Drosophila melanogaster: one gene and its partners. The protein of the gene in region 1 binds, or shares a complex with, the protein of each later gene. Each region holds a gene or a part of one and is shown in the gene's direction. Other genes may lie near its edges. The genes, in order: Smn, Gem4c and rig.

Region 1 (3,608 bases):
GGATGACGTCCACGGAGAGCAGCTCCAGTTCCGTGTGAAAGTCGGATACCCGGTTGCCAGACAAGAGGTACAGCAGATTCAGACCGAGCAGCTTATACTTGCTCTCCGATTCGCCAATGATCTTAGCGTAGTCATAGTAATAGCACTTCAGCTGCGCCATGTAGCGCTCGAAGGCGAGCAGGTCCTTGCTGAGCACGCTATGCTCCACGGCCACCTCAAGCACGCTCCTAGCCAGGATCAATTGCTTCTTGGAGCTCTGGGCATCGTTTCCGTCCGTCGGCAGGAAGGCCATCTTCACGAGCGCTACTTTCAGTTGATCCAGCAGCTGGCCGCATTTGACGGTGTTTGGTGGCCGCTTTGACCACTCGGCGGTCAGTTCTTTGTACAGCGATTCCACGTTGGCCATTCTTTAGATTGGTATATTGAAGCTTAAATGTTTTCTGCAAATTCCCAAGATGATTTTCGCTTTTTTTTAGAGATGGCAATTGTTGTAGGGTAAAGCGATAGGACAATCGTTATCGGAACAGTTATCGATTGTCAAGTTACCACAGGGCTGGGAATATTATTTAAGTGTAAGTTTAAGTTGAAAAATACATTTTTTAGACGAACTCTATATAGTTTAACAGTTTACAACTGAAAGCTTTATGATTTGATCCAAGGGGTATTGTATTTCCTTTGTGCTTTAATATCGATATATTTTAACAAACTATCTAATGGAGTTTAAATCTAAATTTTCGCATTTAAGCTCGGACTGTTTATTCAATTAGTGATTGTCTCAGTATAGTTAAAAATTTCGGGTATTGAAATCACGTCTATTTGACCTTGGGCATAAGTTTTGTGTCAAGAATAACTTAAATTATTAAGCGATTCAGAACTCTCATTCTTTGTGGGTCTTTAGATGGTACCGCAGTTGCGTGTTCGTGAAATAGCTTTTGGAGCACTTGGTGCATGGGAACGGTCGCTCTCCTGTGTGGCTCATCATGTGAATTCGAAGATGCGCATTCTGGGTAAAACGCCTTAGGACATTGGGAGCACTTGAAGGGGCGTTCGCCTGTGTTGATTATTAGATGCCTTTTAAGATTGGAAGCCAGCGTAAAATTCGATGTACAATGGGGGCACCGTTTTTCAGTGTGTATTGCAATATGTCCCGAAAGATGCGATACGCTCTTCAAAGCCTTTGCTGCTAAGCAGCAAGTGCTGCTTAAGTGCTGAGTTTATCCAAAACCTCGTTGGGCAATGAGGACATTGAAGCAGCTTATCATTATCACGTCCTTTATTTTGCAATCTATGGTTTTCACAACTATCATAGTCTTCGTCTATTACCTCAATATTGACTTGGCTATTGGATTGATCGCTGTCACAGTCCACGAACTGATCATCGTCTTTAAAGAGGCTCGTTCTACACTAGACAACATTCCCATTGGATCATGCCACTGCCTCGCCAATCTTCAACTACACTTTCGAGTTCGACAAAATGCTGAAAAGCACCTCCATCGATACTCGATTCCCCATCCTCGGAATAAGATACCTTGCGGAATCGGGATTCCTCCATTAACTAAACGTAAAATTATTAGCTCCTCTGGTGGGTTTTTCTAAACTCGAACGCATTTTGTGCATCTTGGCAGCAGGAGGTGCAAAATGTTTCGGGTAGATGATCGCCTTTTTCCACTTTGAGGCCAGTGCACTCGGAAATGATTGACGCTATTGAAGCTTCAGTGCCGTGCTTAACTTCAAAAATATTGAACTCGTTTTCACATTGCCCGAGGCAAATTCGGCACACCAACCCCAACTCCATACCTCCGAAATTGAGTTAAAAAATTTAGCGATCTCGCTTTCAGGTCGGATCGATCAATTTATTGTTTGTTTATTGTGTTAAAGATGCATGCTGATAAGTATCGATACTATCGTGCGGTTAATGGGGACGATAGGTACAACACCACTCACAATAAAGTATTTTTAGTGGAAAGTATAAAAAGAAGACTTCAATTAAAACAATAAATACAATACAATTACATTGGAAGTATTCTGATTGCATTGTGAATGTTGGCCACAAAGTATGAAAACTTTTTTCAGCTTTACTGAATTTAAATATTTCTTAACCATTTCGTTCGCTTTCAGAATAATATAATACCCAGAATGACTTCATAAATTTTATCACATCTTAGTTTGAATGTACACCTTTTAGCGATAGTTTCATGTTTCGGCCTGTGCTGCTAAGCGGTGATTCGCCTGCGCTTTCCAACACACAGCAAATTCGCATAAAAGCGAAACTTGGTTCTTCCTTTAAAAACGTGATACTTGCCTGATAGGATAGAAAGCCGAGATGTCCGACGAGACGAACGCCGCGGTGTGGGATGACTCCTTGCTGGTGAAGACGTACGACGAGTCGGTGGGACTGGCCCGCGAAGCTTTGGCCCGCCGCCTCGCCGATTCCACCAACAAGCGCGAGGAGGAGAACGCTGCCGCAGCTGAAGAAGAAGCTGGCGAGATCTCGGCCACTGGTGGGGCTACCAGCCCGGAACCAGTATCCTTCAAAGTAGGCGACTACGCCAGGGCCACCTACGTGGATGGTGTGGACTACGAGGGCGCTGTGGTGTCTATTAACGAGGAGAAGGGCACCTGCGTACTCCGCTATTTGGGCTATGAGAACGAGCAGGAGGTGTTGCTCGTGGACCTCCTGCCGTCCTGGGGCAAGCGTGTGCGTCGCGAGCAGTTCCTTATCGCCAAGAAGGATGAGGACGAGCAGTTGAGCCGCCCTAAGGCATCCGCTGGTAGTCATTCAAAGACTCCCAAGTCATCCAGAAGGAGTAGGATCTCTGGCGGACTGGTTATGCCGCCCATGCCACCAGTACCGCCCATGATTGTCGGACAAGGGGACGGCGCCGAACAGGACTTCGTGGCCATGCTCACCGCCTGGTACATGTCCGGCTATTATACGGGCCTCTACCAGGGAAAGAAAGAAGCCAGCACCACTAGCGGAAAGAAAAAGACACCCAAGAAGTAATTCCATCTTATCTCATCATCACATCACATCTTTTCGAAAGACTTGTAGATATTAAGAAAACAGAACGATTAAATTTATTATATTAAAGAGTCAGTATCGTCATGGTGGGATCTCGTTTCAATTGCTACATAAATGGAAAAAAAAAATGCCGAGGCAGGCAGAAATTTAGGTTGACATTCAATATGGCCACTTGAGAAAATCAGTGCTTCGATACATTTCGTAGCGAGCGGTTGAGTTTGTAGTATAACGGAATTTTCATAACCTTCGATAGATCGTAGAATGGCGATATTTTAGCTGGCAGTATACAAATCAGAAAAGAAAAAAAACGGATATTTTGATTGGTAAGCAGACTTTCTTACACTGCAATAGATTTCTTTAACTTTGGGTATCGTGTAGCTGTTTTAAAATCAGAAGCTGAAAAATTTTATTGATAAAAAATAAGATATAATGATAAAGAGAGTACATGGTAGTATTGCCTAATTAACAAACTAGCTAAAAATGCGCTTGGACCTTTTAACCGTCCATATTCAACACTGCCAAATGCATCCTTTATTTTCACAGGCTTACGATTTGAAATATAAGTGGTAAATCCTTCTCTTTTGCA
Region 2 (6,472 bases), on another chromosome or scaffold:
AGTACTGCGTCCCTTATTTATGCAATTAAATGTCGAGGACAAGATGGAAGTACTGCTATTGCGCGATGAGCAAAACGTTACCCAAGGATTTAATTTCAAGGCTCCCGATCATCGGGAGCGTCGCATACGCTTCTTTAATCAATTGGATTATAATAAGCGCTTCCCGATAACCAAATTTCTAGTACTGTGCTTTGAGAACGCAAGACAGACCTGGATTGATTTCTCCCACTTGGGCGTGACGCATACTCGCTTCTCGAAGCTATTCTGGCACATAGCTCAGTCTTGTCCCAAGCATGCTGCTTTTCATATTTCCGCCTGTGCCGATAACATCTTGGTGAACGAGCAACTACTTCAAAAGCCGTATGCCTTGCAGTTTACACTCTACCTATATGGCCACCGACAGATCCTCAACGGTCTCTACACGTCAGCGCGACAACTGTGCGTTAGTTTGAAAGACGGACGGTGTCCCTACGGAGAGGATGAGCTTAGGCAGGCGCAAAATAGGTTCCTAGACGCGTGTGCCTACGGTTTGGCCAAGTTTATAGAGCCCATGAACTTGCCCAGCTTGCAGTTAATCTTGAAACTGCTCAAGCAGATTAGTCTGGGTGAAAGCAATCTAATCACCCGAGGCACTGCAGAGTTAAATGCACTCGAAAAGGAGCACCCGAAATTGGAGAACGGAGACGATGCACCAGCTGTCAAGGTGGCCAAGCACTACACATATCTGAATGCCAGCTTGCCAGAGTGGCGTTTGAAACACTGGAAGCTGATCTCGCATGTCATGAAAACCATTGATGCCCTACGCTGGGACTTGGCCACCTTTGAAGATTTCCGGGTGGATAATTTAGAACTGGCGGTGTGGTATTGGCAGGACGGTCTGTCTCATCTGACATTCCTAGGCACTGGTGCGCTCTTATAAATGTAAGTCCAAGACGAAAGCCTACTAATTATTGCTCTTTCACAGAATGCCGCCAGAGGATCTTGAACCAAGTGAACAGTTTAAAGCACAAGGGCTTTTGGCTCATCTACCTTAAAGAAGACACCTTAAAGGACACACGCTCCTTTCTCAAATTGCTAACTCAGTCCAGTGCACAGGAGGCTAACGATCTCTTCAACAAGCTCCTTAAAAAAAGGGCCGATTGTGCTGTTATGGGCGATCTTAGCGATGCAGTGGTCAAGGTGAACAGCGAGTCCGCTTTCATGGCCTTTAGATTCCTATTTCGAGAATATTTGATCGCCTTCCGGAGCCACGCCAAACACAATAAGACCATCACGAAGCGCCAGCATTGGGATCATTTGATGGCCGTTGTGGCCAAGGCTCCATTCTCCATTCGCAACGAGATTATGAAGCTAGCTAGTAAAGCCTTCGCTGTGCGATTCGGCATAAATATCCAGGAACAGCAGGCGGCCAAGTGTTAAGGAGATGCTGTTAGAAGTGTAATTTTCTTAAGCCAAATCGAAATTCCGCCGCTTGTCCAACACTTTAATTCTTAGGCAGTCAGATCTCTATATGACTAAAAACATATATAATATTCATAACGCTAGGATTGAACATCAGAATAATTTGATATCAGATTATTTTACAACTTTGTATGTCCTTTAAAAGGGCGACTGTATGCACATAACAAATGTACCACTACCATGCAAATTTTTTGTCTTACTAAAAATACTTTGGCAAGCAAGTGAAGTTATTCAGCTGAAAATTAATAAAATTTTGCATGTTCTTTTTTTTTCGTATTATTATGTATTATATATATAATATACAAAACGCTATGATTGAACATCAGAATAATTTGATATCAGGTTATTTTACAACTTTGTGTGTCCTTAAGGCCGACTATATTTACATAAAATATGTAATACTACCATCAAATACAAATTTGTGTTCTATTAAATAAATGCTTTGGCAAGCTTAAAATTATTGTAATTTTGCATGTTCTTATTTTTATTCGTATTTTTATGTATTACTTCGACTGCTTTGCTTCCTGTTGCAAAATTGTAACTTAAAACTAGGAAAATTTATTTTAATACATTTTTAAATTTCATGTACTCGTTATGTTATAAATTTAACTAATTTATATTCTGTCAAAAGCTGAATGGCATTATTCAGGGAAAGGAAAATTTTGGTGCAAATTGTTATTAATAACATTTTCAAATTACCTAAATAAAAAAAAAAATAGAAAAAATATCTTGTCTTAAAAAACACTATATATATTTTACAAGGTAATTTAACGACCAATGCTTGACAAGTATCGAAAAGATTTCAAACTCAAATGCCGCATGCGAATCGCATTATTTTAAATACATTTGCTAAATAGGACCACTGTTTAAAAAACTGCAGTTGACTTTGGAGAAGTCGCAATATTTATAATGTCAATTATTAATTATCGAATAAAACATTACAATAATAATACAAATAATTAATTATCGAATAATACATTACAATACTTTATAAAATATCTTCATTTAATTTTCAGCTGAGCAAAATACAAAATATCATATGAAAATGTTTATAAATAAAGTTAAAGTTAAATCATAGCAAGCAGTGGACAAGTCATATTAGTATCTATCTACATCAGAGAGTCTATTACAAAGCGAAATTTTTTGTTGTAGGGACATTTTCATTTTCAAAAAATATTCCTTGCACGCAAGATAATCGGTACGCACCGGTAAACTATCGATTTTCGATAGTCATCTGACAGAAGACGCACATAAAATTGAATTCCTTCGGAAGAGTTTTGACGAAACGCGAAATTTCGGCAGCACGATGATAACTGCTGAGAAGCACCCGCTGGACAATTGCCAGTTGTTTGTCCAGCTGAAGAAAATATTCCATGACAACAACGAACAGGCCAAGTGTCTGAAAGATATGATTTACTGGAGTGGTAAGTGAAGTACCAGAGGTTAGTGCCCAAATATGAACATTGTTTGTTCTCAGGAAACGATGAGCACATTGAGAAGATCTGCGACCAAGTGACGGACCTGCTGGAGGAGCACGATCTAATCATACAGCCGCCAGACACAATGGATCCTTTTGCTATGAATCAACTGCGTGGACTACTGGTGTACCTGGTGCTGAACACCGCACACGACTATTTCTTGTGCAAATCGCAGTGGAGCGCCAATGTCATGCATTTGTGTAACCAGCTTCCGCCTATCCCACTGTTCTTGACCATCGCAATAGCCGTTAACTGCTGTCTCATGGAGCCGCTGGAGGAATTCCTTGCTTGTGGACCCCGCTGGCTGACCATCCAGTATTTTGAGGCATTCAATGAGGCTCTGTCGGTCATTAATTCAGATTGCGTGGAAACACTACCGCTGCTCTCTGCCGCCCTCAGAGCAGCCGGTCGCGCAATTGTCAACTGCAATTTGCCCGCAGAAAATAAGCAACTGCTGCGCCAGATAGCCTGCATGGAACATCGTCATATCTTGGACTCTAAACAGCGCCTCCATACGCTGCCGCGTCCATCCACTCGAAAGATTTACCTGGCCAAGGCTATGGATCACCTTATAGAAGTCCTTTTGTATACCCTCAATGATCCATTAAAGCGGGAGAAACCAAATTGCTTCGCCGTCTACAGCCAAATAACCGAGGACATCAGTGACAGCAACTCAAGCGATCCCATGCCTGATCTGCGGCATTTCGCCCAAATACTGCTAGACGTTCTGCGGCGTATCTTTCAGCTCGTTAGCGTAGACACGTATATGTATTGGCATGAAATGAAATCGAAAAGTGCTTTGTATAACTGCCAGGAGCTAATCTGTAGACAGACGGCAGAATTGCTTAAAGTACTCCAATCAGATAATATGCTCGGAGAGCATCCGGTTTGCAAGCAGATGCAGAGCTTTGCGGATGCAGCAAAAACATTGGAGCAGCGCGTTGCCGAGATGAGAATGGGTGAACTCTTAGTCTTTCTCGATTCCGGTATGGCCACCGATGAGGAGTTGCTCGCCGGGCTGGACAATCTCTTTAGCCGCTTCATAGCCTTTGGTAACGATGAGTGCGTGGAAACGATGGCAAATCATTTAATTATGCTCACCAAGAAACATGCCCAGATAATACTCAGTTTCCTGGGTCAGGTGGTGGAGTCCGAAATGGTGGTCGAGGACGAGGGCATATCCGTTACGGAAGTAAATCAGGGGGATGACGAGGACGAGACCTCGTCCAACGATGATTACGAAGAGCTGCTAAGCCTAGTACTGCGTCCCTTATTTATGCAATTAAATGTCGAGGACAAGATGGAAGTACTGCTATTGCGCGATGAGCAAAACGTTACCCAAGGATTTAATTTCAAGGCTCCCGATCATCGGGAGCGTCGCATACGCTTCTTTAATCAATTGGATTATAATAAGCGCTTCCCGATAACCAAATTTCTAGTACTGTGCTTTGAGAACGCAAGACAGACCTGGATTGATTTCTCCCACTTGGGCGTGACGCATACTCGCTTCTCGAAGCTATTCTGGCACATAGCTCAGTCTTGTCCCAAGCATGCTGCTTTTCATATTTCCGCCTGTGCCGATAACATCTTGGTGAACGAGCAACTACTTCAAAAGCCGTATGCCTTGCAGTTTACACTCTACCTATATGGCCACCGACAGATCCTCAACGGTCTCTACACGTCAGCGCGACAACTGTGCGTTAGTTTGAAAGACGGACGGTGTCCCTACGGAGAGGATGAGCTTAGGCAGGCGCAAAATAGGTTCCTAGACGCGTGTGCCTACGGTTTGGCCAAGTTTATAGAGCCCATGAACTTGCCCAGCTTGCAGTTAATCTTGAAACTGCTCAAGCAGATTAGTCTGGGTGAAAGCAATCTAATCACCCGAGGCACTGCAGAGTTAAATGCACTCGAAAAGGAGCACCCGAAATTGGAGAACGGAGACGATGCACCAGCTGTCAAGGTGGCCAAGCACTACACATATCTGAATGCCAGCTTGCCAGAGTGGCGTTTGAAACACTGGAAGCTGATCTCGCATGTCATGAAAACCATTGATGCCCTACGCTGGGACTTGGCCACCTTTGAAGATTTCCGGGTGGATAATTTAGAACTGGCGGTGTGGTATTGGCAGGACGGTCTGTCTCATCTGACATTCCTAGGCACTGGTGCGCTCTTATAAATGTAAGTCCAAGACGAAAGCCTACTAATTATTGCTCTTTCACAGAATGCCGCCAGAGGATCTTGAACCAAGTGAACAGTTTAAAGCACAAGGGCTTTTGGCTCATCTACCTTAAAGAAGACACCTTAAAGGACACACGCTCCTTTCTCAAATTGCTAACTCAGTCCAGTGCACAGGAGGCTAACGATCTCTTCAAAAAGCTCCTTAAAAAAAGGGCCGATTGTGCTGTTATGGGCGATCTTAGCGATGCAGTGGTCAAGGTGAACAGCGAGTCCGCTTTCATGGCCTTTAGATTCCTATTTCGAGAATATTTGATCGCCTTCCGGAGCCACGCCAAACACAATAAGACCATCACGAAGCGCCAGCATTGGGATCATTTGATGGCCGTTGTGGCCAAGGCTCCATTCTCCATTCGCAACGAGATTATGAAGCTAGCTAGTAAAGCCTTCGCTGTGCGATTCGGCATAAATATCCAGGAACAGCAGGCGGCCAAGTGTTAAGGAGATGCTGTTAGAAGTGTAATTTTCTTAAGCCAAATCGAAACTCCGCCGCTTGTCCAACACTTTAATTCTTAGGCAGTCAGATCTCTATATGACTAAAAACATATATAATATTCATAACGCTAGGATTGAACATCAGAATAATTTGATATCAGATTATTTTACAACTTTGTATGTCCTTTAAAAGGACGACTGTATGCACATAACAAATGTACCACTACCATGCAAATTTTTTGTCTTACTAAAAATACTTTGGCAAGCAAGTGAAGTTATTCAGCTGAAAATTAATAAAATTTTGCATGTTCTTTTTTTTCGTATTATTATGTATTATATATATAATATACAAAACGCTATGATTGAACATCAGAATAATTTGATATCAGGTTATTTTACAACTTTGTGTGTCCTTAAGGCCGACTATATTTACATAAAATATGTAATACTACCATCAAATACAAATTTGTGTTCTATTAAATAAATGCTTTGGCAAGCTTAAAATTATTGTAATTTTGCATGTTCTTATTTTTATTCGTATTTTTATGTATTACTTCGACTGCTTTGCTTCCTGTTGCAAAATTGTAACTTAAAACTAGGAAAATTTATTTTAATACATTTTTAAATTTCATGTACTCGTTATGTTATAAATTTAACTAATTTATATTCTGTCAAAAGCTGAATGGCATTATTCAGGGAAAGGAAAATTTTGGTGCAAATTGTTATTAATAACATTTTCAAATTACCTAAATAAAAAAAAATAGAAAAAATATCTTGTCTTAAAAAACACTATATATATTTTACAAGGTAATTTAACGACCAATGCTTGACAAGTATCGAAAAGTCGCTAAACTAAAAATATC
Region 3 (8,638 bases), on another chromosome or scaffold:
GCCCATCTCAGCGACGAGCTGCTAACTCGTTTGCTCCCGGGCCCCCTGACCATCGTGATCGAGCGGACGTCCCAGCTGAGCAACCGTTTCCTTAATCCCAGCACCTCCAAAATCGGCATACGCATTCCGGACTTCAACTTCATGCGCGACCTGTGCGCCGTGTGGCAGGAGAAGCCCCTGGCCCTGACCAGCGCCAATCGCTCCAGTGCGCCCAGCAGTCTGCAGGTGTCCGAGTTCCGTTCCCTATGGCCCCAATTGGGCGCCGTCTTCGATGCCGGTCGAATCGGTCTGACCGAGGAGCGACGACTGGCCTCCACGGTCATTGACCTGGCCACTCCTGGCTACTATGAAATAGTGCGCGCCGGCGTGGCTCTCAAGCCGACACTCAGCCTCATGGAGGAGTTCGGCATTCGGGAGCTAAAAATGATGTAGTATAAGAGCTATTCCTTTGGCTTTAACTTTAATTTTTACTTTGGAACATCCTACTTTGCTTTGCATGCGGGAACACAACAAATTGTTTATAAAATATACGGTTCAGTATGTACACAATTGGAACTATCTTGGGCGCAGGCTCTCCGCCAGTTGGTCAGTCTAGTTGTAGTAGTTGCTGGAGTTCTTGGAGGCCTGTATGGGTCTCCGTCGCCGCGGCAGTTCGTTCTCCAGTATTCGCCAGCGTTCCGGTGGCCACACGATGGCCACTGCCCGCGCGGACATCAGGCCCAGGGCGACGGGTCCAAAGGTATTGCTGTCCATGGAGTGGCCTGTGTGATCGCCCTCCACCCAACAATGTCCTTCGGGTACGCGAACGATCTCGTGCTTGTAGCCCAGCGTGGACACGACGTCGCCCTGCAGCCCCACCACGCGCTTGATAATCTTCTGGGCGGGATCCTTGGGTGAAATGAGCGATATTATGTCGCCGCGCTCCACCTGACTGTTGTGGGTGCCCCAGCGCAGCAGGAACACATAGTCCTTTTCATCCGGCACGGGATTGAGAGCGGGCTGCATGGAGATGCCTGCAAAAAGTTGTGGATTAATTAGCGCACACTAACATGGAGCGAATAAACTCCGGACGACTCACCATCCACCCTGGCCACATAACCAACGCAGTCCAGGAAAGTGACGCCAAGTGGCAGAGCGTACAGCAAGGACTTGCCAAAGAACCGAAATGCCATGGATGAACTGGTTGGAGAGCGGAGCTATCGAGATGAATACATAACCACCAGCCTTTTGCCGAGTTCCTTGTGCGCTCCGGATCTTATGACATTCGCAGCGCAGCGCCGACACGGGTTTTGTTTATGCTAAATACAGGGTGCTTCAATAAAGGCGATGCAGAGGTTCTTGAGCAGATTACGTTTATTGAGGAAGGATATTTGCCAGCTATTGTACTTTAGTTACAGGTGTTTTTTTCCGTTTTGGGTTTATTGTAATTTTGACAGAAACAGGAATGTGACTGGGCAATCGTTCAGCAGCCCTCCAGCTCGCTGGGAATGGGTATCTCGTTCTGGATGGCGAACTGCAGCAGCGCCTTGTACTTGTTCTTCCAGTTGGACACCTCGCGGCGCACCTGCTCGTTGTCCTCGTGCATCTGCTCCAGTTCCGTCCACTCGTACGACTTCTTAGTCTCCAGCTCGTCCTTCTGTTCGATTCTCTTGATGCGGCAACTGGCTGCGTATCCGCGATTCTTTAAGGTTCTCCGGCGCTGCTTCATCCGAACGATCTCCTCGCGGTTCAGGCCACGCATCTTGAGGGTCCGATTAAGATCCCTTACCGAAATGCTCACCAAATCGTCATCGGTAATATCCGGAATTGGACATGGCGAAAGTGGTGCCTGAAAATCGCACTTCTATCAGGGTTTTCTTTCTTCTTCGCATATATCTACAAGGTACGTACCAGGGATGACTTTCTCTCGCGCTTTGCTTCCATTGTGGCCGATTGTATTTTATTTTTACGGAGACTTTTAGAATTTGCTAGATTTTTCTACCTTTTTTTTTTGCGTTGTTATTGTGTGTCTTCTTCTTCCTCTCTACCTGCTGGTTGCCATTCACAGGAAATGGATTGCATAGAGTTGGCAGATAGACAAAAAACGTCTGTGGTAAATAGCGGGTAATTTAAATATACTAAAGCTAACGTGATCCCTAGATTTTAGGCTTTGTAGCATAAGGTACTTAGTTATATTTTTAAATTATTTATATAAAGCAGATCCAGATTTTTGTTATAAATACAAGTTCGAAAATAACAAATTTATATTTTAATTATTATCAATTTTAATTAACTGTTAAGTTCCGTGCCTTCCAGGTGGCATCGCTGGCAAAGTTTAAGAAGCTGCCTAACACTAACAGCTTTACAGAAGTTTTTTCCCCGAACGACGCCAACTGTTAGCGGGAAATATTCCTTCATCCTGCAGATGCCAAGTCCTTATTGTTCGCCATGAACTCGCAGGTGATGTACCACAATGTGCCCACACCGCCGGGCAACGTATCTTTGGCGGCCGCTGCTCCCGACGGCGGTTTGCTGTACGCCGGCATTCGCTGCATCAACTACATATCCGCGCCGCCGGCAAACGGAGAGCAGCCCCAAGTGGTGACCATGTCGACGCGGATCAACATACTGGCCCTGGACGTTAGTCCCATGTGGGGCTTGGGCAACGGTGGGCCGACCAAGCCATTCGCCATTGTGGGCGACGATCTAAGCGTTCAGGTGTGGGACTGCGCATTGGGCGAAGCCGTCATCGGGCACAAGGCCCATCAGCACCAGCACGAGGCGCGGGATGTGCGCGTCGTGCACCACACTACCAACTCCGTGCTGATGAGCTACCTGGCCAATGGTAACATTCTATCCATGGACGCCAGTGATCTGGTCATCTATTGTGTGGCATCCAACACCTACTGCCGTCGCTCCACTTTCATCTCGCCCCGAAATCACCAACTCACTATGGTGCGCTGCTCGCCCTACAATGACAATTTGTTCGCTGTGGGAACGGCTATGGGTAATGTGCTGGTCTGCGATCTGCGCAAAATGAACATCGTCTACAAGTTCCACGGCCACAAAGCGCCCATATGCGGCTTAGCCTGGCGGGAGGTGCCTGCTGCCGAGGACGAAAAAACCAATAATCTGGCGTTAAGTGCTGAAGAGTGGCGAAGCCGCAATGGCGGCCAGGAGGAGAAACCCAAGACAAAGCCACCACCACTGACCAAATCGAAGGCAGCCGAATCCGACGACCCTTTCGACATATACAACTTTGATCATCTTGAGTACGAGTTCGGTGCACCTATAGCTGAACGCCGCCGCAAATCTTCAGAGGATTGTGGCGGCGAATTTGTGGGTCTAGAGAAGCCAGCTGGTGCCGCTGTCTTAGATTTCGTTGAGGCCTGCGAGAGTGTGAAAGCCGAACTCTTAGCCAGTCGCCAGGAGGATAAAACGCAGCACGTGGAGGTCACGCTGCATGACTGCGAGCCCACAAAGCCTACGGGTCCCTTAAGTGATGCCAGCACCATTAGCAACAAGAACGATGCCAGCGACTCGACCGAGGGCAGTCTGGAGGTCATCCAGTACAGCTCGTCCAGTGATGATGCCGTGATCGTCGATGGCGAGGCAGCAAAGCCCAAAAGAGAAGTATTGCATCACATCTACCACCAGGCCGAGGTACATGCTTCAGGAACACCGCAGACCAAGTCTGAGCCTCAGAGTAATCTCCAAGTTGTGCCGGCCATCAGCGCGGAGACCATCAGCTTGACATCCGTGAACAGCACCCACTTGGAAACTCTGCTCGTGTCCATTGACGGCGATGAGGTGATGATGATCTGGAATACCAATACGGGAGCGCATGCTGGCAAGAACTACAGCAAAAGCAAGACGGCGGGTAAGTGGAAAGAATCAAACCATTGAAAGCAAGCATTCAACTGGGATCTTTTCTTCAGGCAAGCTTAACAACGTCTACTGGCTGAACAACCATGTCATTGTTTCCCTGAGTCGCCATCAGTTATTCTTTTGGTCCGTGGAGTTCGAGCGCAAGATGCTACGCTACAAGATCAGCAAGGATAAATCACACAGCTGCCATTTGCAAGACATCGTGTCCTTTGCCTGTGACTCCAGCAAAGAGATGATATGGTTGTGCAGAAACAATCGCCAGATTGGAATGATGAATCCTAAAACTGGCCGGATGGCTGACTTTTACGGAACAGTGGCGTTTGGAGTGCGAGCGATGGCCGAGTGTCCAGATGATATGAACAAGTAAGCTAATAAGATAATATGCCATTCGCAAACGTTGCTAAACTGTTTTTCGTTTAGAATCGCTTTGGGTTGTTCGGATCGCCGTGTGGCCTTCTTCGATATATCGAAGCTCACCACCAGCTGCCTGCCCATCGACAGCGTTTATGTGTCCAGCAACGTCTACTGCCTGGCTTGGAGTCCAAACTGCTTGGAACTGGCCTTTGGCACCTTCGACGGAACGGTATGGCTTTGATTTCGTCTATTTTATTGGATATTGAACCTAAATATACAACTCAACAACAGGTGGGCATCCTGGATGTGGAGCGCATGAAAGTAAAGACACACTTACGGACGCCGCACAAAAAAGAAGTCTACTCGCTTGTGTGGCAGGACCACTTTATATACTTTATTGTGAATCGTGTTCTAGGTTTCTTTGATTTAAGAAAATCGAAAATCGGTGAGTATATGTTCTTAGCCGTTCTCTACTTATGTTGCCGACAGTTGTAGGTTTGATTCTGTGCGTTGCGCCTTCCGTAACTAATGTTGGTCTGCGCGTCGTTGGTCTGCTTCTTACGTATATTGGCCAAGTGGATTGTCTCCCGATGATAATCCCACGCATTCCATGTTACGTTTATCCAGTTTGCTGGCGTTAGGTCGTTGGTGACGACCATTTCGGTTTGACACTCAAAATCTGTCTGCTTTGGTGGCTCAACTACCAGATTCTGCAGTTCCTGCTCTATTAGCGCATCGTCCAATTTGAACAGCAGAGCCAGGTTCGCATTGTTGAAAACCACTTTTCTAAAGGCGGCTATGAAAGGCTCAAATCGCAGCTCCGCGAATCGAGCGTATCTTGGGTCCCGGAAACCAAATGTAATGTCCACATTGGAGCACAGCTTTCTGGTCACCTGGGCCGGCATAAGCAGGCCGTTGGTAATGGTCATGGCTAGAGAGCAAAACTCCTTTATATCTGCCTTGTTGAGCTTGCAAAAGTTGCCATCGGTCTGCAACTCCTTCACGGCATCCATGCGTTCCTCAAAGCTGCAGACCTTGGGCTTCTTTATCCGCTTATGAAGCGCCTGCAGCTCGGCAATCGTAGCCTTTGTCAGGGTCATCAAGTCGTCGACGACCAATGCCTCCACCTGCTCCCTCAGCTTGTTTAACTCAACAATGTGGTTCAGGTAGTTGTTCAGATTGCCCCACACCTGAGAGAGGTACACAAAGTGCGGCTGAAAGCGGGAAACGAAATTGGAGAAATTCTCATCTTTTAAATGAATACATCACTTACAAATATAAGCTCCGAATCAATAGCCGTGCGCATGGATAGGGTATCATCAATCTTGCAGATCACGCATTGATATCGCTTATGCTCCACTTCAATTAGGTACACTGTCTTCTGGTAATGTTCGTTCAGAGTCGTCAGACAGCGATGGAGCATAAAGTAGGTCGCCGCAAACTGGTTAAGCCGATCCAAATGTTCGAGGGGCACGCGGTAGGTCAAGGTCTCGTCCTTATGATCTATGTTTATGAGGTCATCCAGTGCCGCCTGGCAAGTGGACTGCATCTTGACCGCCCTTCCCATACTGGCTGCAAATGCGGCTTCCGTGTTCTTCTGGGCCATTTCCAGATCATCGACCACTAAGAAGTATACAGCAGATATGAAATATGAAATGGTTTGCCCTATATGCACATACCGCTTCTAACATTCTCCCGATCTCCATCGGGGCCATCGTTGTTATAGATCACAATGCCGCCCACGGTCGCCGACAAGCGTTGAAGATACTCTAGCCGATGGTACTTCTTCTTCAGGACATAATTCTGTAGGTCACTTCGACCGATGACGCTGTTGAGAGCCTGGGCAGTCAGCTTAAGCAGAACATGATTCTTGGGCGAGCCCAGACTGTAGCAGGCCACTATGAAGACCTGCATCTTTGCGAAGAGCTGGTCCAACTGCACTTTACTGCAAGTCTCGGGATACTGAAGGATATCCTTGATTAGCAGCTGCAGTTCGGTTTGGAACTTTTCCTCGTACTTCTTCTTGACGTATTCAAGGTCTATGGTTACTCCCTTTTTCATTACCCAAGCCATCTTCATGTTGGCCATAGTGCAATCTTTCGAATTGACATAGCTATCCACAATTGTATTCACGAAACCCTCAATGGCACAGGCGGTTGGCTTATTGAGGTCGTACTTCAGGAGACCTTTGCGCCGATCTCTTGCCAGCAAATGAACCATGTAGATGACAAACTCCTTGTCGACCCTGAGATCCAACTGTTTGAAGCGCTTCATAATACGATGACCAATGCTCACTAGAGTTTTGTGTCGCGGCATTTTGGTAAACAGAACAATTTAACCTATTTCGATGAAAGGAAATGTGTAATGTGGTTTGCTTGCTAAGTTTTTGATACGTGTGATATTTGTTGCCCTTGGCTACAGTTTAATCGATTTCATTTTCTTCAAGTAGCACAAATTACTCATGCCATCGAGCTTTTGTTATTCGAGACTTTTAGGCTTGTTTTAATTAATTGTTTCCCACAAATCATTAAAATGATCGCACAATTAGGTGCGGACCTAAAAGACAACAATGGACTTAAAACAAAGAGTTTTTCGTCATTCTGACTAGATTTAATTGTGTTTTAAGTTAATGGATGTATGTATTACTTAAAGGTAAAGCTAGTCAAAGATACATATAAAGTTAATTTAAAATATGCCATTATTATTTTCTTACAGAGCCCACAATTGTGAACTGCATTTCTCGACCCAGTTACCTCAGCATCCGCGATTCTTTCCTTTTTGTTGGCACCGATGATGGACTGCTGCAGATCCATGAGCGCGATTCGGGAATGGAGAAGTCGTGGTCTCCATTTATCCGCCAATCCGCTTTGTTTGCTCGTTATGTGACCGATATCGCCTGGTGCCCGCTGGACAGCAATAAGTTTGCAGTGTCGGGCAACGATAGGTCCGTGTACGTGATGGAGTTTCAGCCCACGGAGCGCAATTGGAAAACGCTTCACACATTTACGGCAAACACAGAGAAGGCGTCGATTACCTCGATGAGATGGAGTCATACCCAGAAGCACTTGCTGCTCACCTTTCATATCGAGGGAAAGGTGTGCCTGTGGAACTGCAATGCGCCAGAGAAGCCACCGCTAACCATCACCTACCACTGCCCCATGTGGTGTGGAATGTTTTTGCCCACCAACGAGAACATCATTATGTGCTCGGGAAAAGCTCTCTCCGTGGAGCTAATTGACATTAAGGACGCGCTGGAAGGCGATGAGAAAAGCATCTGTCCCAAGGTGGATGCTCTGTTAAATGTTAAGTGGGCTAGCAAATCCCTGACCCAGCCATACGCTCCAGTTCTCACAGCGGCTGAAAAGAAACGGCAGCGCCGGGATCAACGCAAAGCAGCGGCTAAGCTCGAAGTTGACGTAGCTAACAAGGATCAAAAGAAAATTCAGGAGTCAGTTACTGCAGTTATTGATAATCCAACCAACGATAAATGTACGCAAGAAACTCCTGTTGAAGAGATGTTGGAAGCGCTTAGCTTGGACAAGGAGCAAAATAATAGAAGTGCCAAAGAATGCCCAAAGTGTAAAGAGCAGTCACCTGACAGTTTCACAGTAAGTTATCCATGTGCTCTTGATTCGACTGAAACCCAATAACATATTTACCAACAGCATAGCCGCACCTGTCTTTACCTTACCCAGAAGGAGCTCAACAAAAGTGCCCTTGAGAAGCTGGCCATTGTTCTTACAGAAGACTCTGCCAAGATCGACAAGTCGGTGCTCATATCGAAGCTGTTCAGCTCAAAAGTGATGGCCAAGGAGCTCATTGCAACCGAGTGTAATTTCACTAACTGACTTATAGTATTTAAAATGCTAACGATAAATGTAATATTTCAGTGACCAATCTGAAGCACTCAAACACCAAAGACATAGCTCCACTTTGCCTGGCCATGTCCACGTTCAAATTACGCGAGGAGCTGGAGCAGCATATAGCCAACAAGACGCTTACCGAACGCCATGTTTCGCTGGCTCCCTCCGTTTCTTTTACGTAAGTTTCTACGTTTTTGTTGTAAATCGGTTTTGTCTTTAGTCTATATTTCTTGCAGACTTTGGCAGGACTGCTGTCGCGCTTATGCCAAGCAGATGGAGGAAAAAGGCTACATCATGCACGCAGCTACGTATCTTTTTAGTCAAGGAATGCAATCGGAAGCCATCAAACTGTTCCTGGCCAATGAATACTATAAGGAGGCCCTTGTACATGCGCGTATTTGCTTGCCAGCAACGGATCCCCTGATCAAGACCGTAATTAACAATTGGCTCGAGCATCTGGAGGGGACGGGTAACTTTGCAGCAGCAGCTCTGATGTAAGTGACTAAAACTAAACTATAGACAAATGTTTAAGCATCCTTTCTGAATCACTTAAC

What was found.
Region 2: Smn (region 1) and Gem4c share a complex: the UniProt entries of both Drosophila melanogaster proteins name them as parts of the core survival motor neuron (SMN) complex.
Region 3: Smn (region 1) and rig share a complex: the UniProt entries of both Drosophila melanogaster proteins name them as parts of the core survival motor neuron (SMN) complex.

The regions. Positions count from the first base shown.
Region 1 is NT_037436.4:16,579,898-16,583,505, reverse strand, and holds Smn (survival motor neuron), read left to right. Parts: upstream 1-1,958; 5' UTR 1,959-2,054; intron 2,055-2,118; 5' UTR 2,119-2,323; coding exon 2,324-3,004; 3' UTR 3,005-3,108; downstream 3,109-3,608. Other genes in the region: Rpn12 (regulatory particle non-ATPase 12), read right to left, coding at 1-406. UniProt on the Drosophila melanogaster protein: Core component of the survival motor neuron (SMN) complex that plays an essential role in spliceosomal small nuclear ribonucleoprotein (snRNP) assembly in the cytoplasm, is required for pre-mRNA splicing in the nucleus and acts as a chaperone that discriminates target and non-target RNAs of Sm proteins.
Region 2 is NC_004354.4:3,942,489-3,948,960, forward strand, and holds Gem4c (gemin 4c), read left to right. Parts: upstream 1-2,554; 5' UTR 2,555-2,767; coding exon 2,768-2,885; intron 2,886-2,938; coding exon 2,939-5,101; intron 5,102-5,160; coding exon 5,161-5,615; 3' UTR 5,616-5,972; downstream 5,973-6,472. Other genes in the region: Gem4b (gemin 4b), read left to right, coding at 1-905, 965-1,419. UniProt on the Drosophila melanogaster protein: Component of the survival motor neuron (SMN) complex that catalyzes the assembly of small nuclear ribonucleoproteins (snRNPs), the building blocks of the spliceosome, and thereby plays an important role in the splicing of cellular pre-mRNAs.
Region 3 is NT_033778.4:20,634,371-20,643,008, reverse strand, and holds the start of rig (rigor mortis), read left to right. Parts: upstream 1-2,327; 5' UTR 2,328-2,427; coding exon 2,428-3,859; intron 3,860-3,917; coding exon 3,918-4,230; intron 4,231-4,287; coding exon 4,288-4,450; intron 4,451-4,512; coding exon 4,513-4,666; exon of another isoform or gene 4,667-4,691; coding exon of another isoform or gene 4,692-5,435; intron 5,436-5,494; coding exon of another isoform or gene 5,495-5,844; intron 5,845-5,900; coding exon of another isoform or gene 5,901-6,537; exon of another isoform or gene 6,538-6,617; intron 6,618-6,936; coding exon 6,937-7,829; intron 7,830-7,886; coding exon 7,887-8,052; intron 8,053-8,111; coding exon 8,112-8,262; intron 8,263-8,320; coding exon 8,321-8,578; intron 8,579-8,638. Other genes in the region: Tcs1 (Threonyl-carbamoyl synthesis 1), read left to right, coding at 1-432; CG11110 (uncharacterized protein), read right to left, coding at 592-1,013, 1,079-1,172; maf-S, read right to left, coding at 1,463-1,843, 1,891-1,923; CG13436 (uncharacterized protein), read right to left, coding at 4,692-5,435, 5,495-5,844, 5,901-6,537. UniProt on the Drosophila melanogaster protein: Component of the survival motor neuron (SMN) complex that catalyzes the assembly of small nuclear ribonucleoproteins (snRNPs), the building blocks of the spliceosome, and thereby plays an important role in the splicing of cellular pre-mRNAs.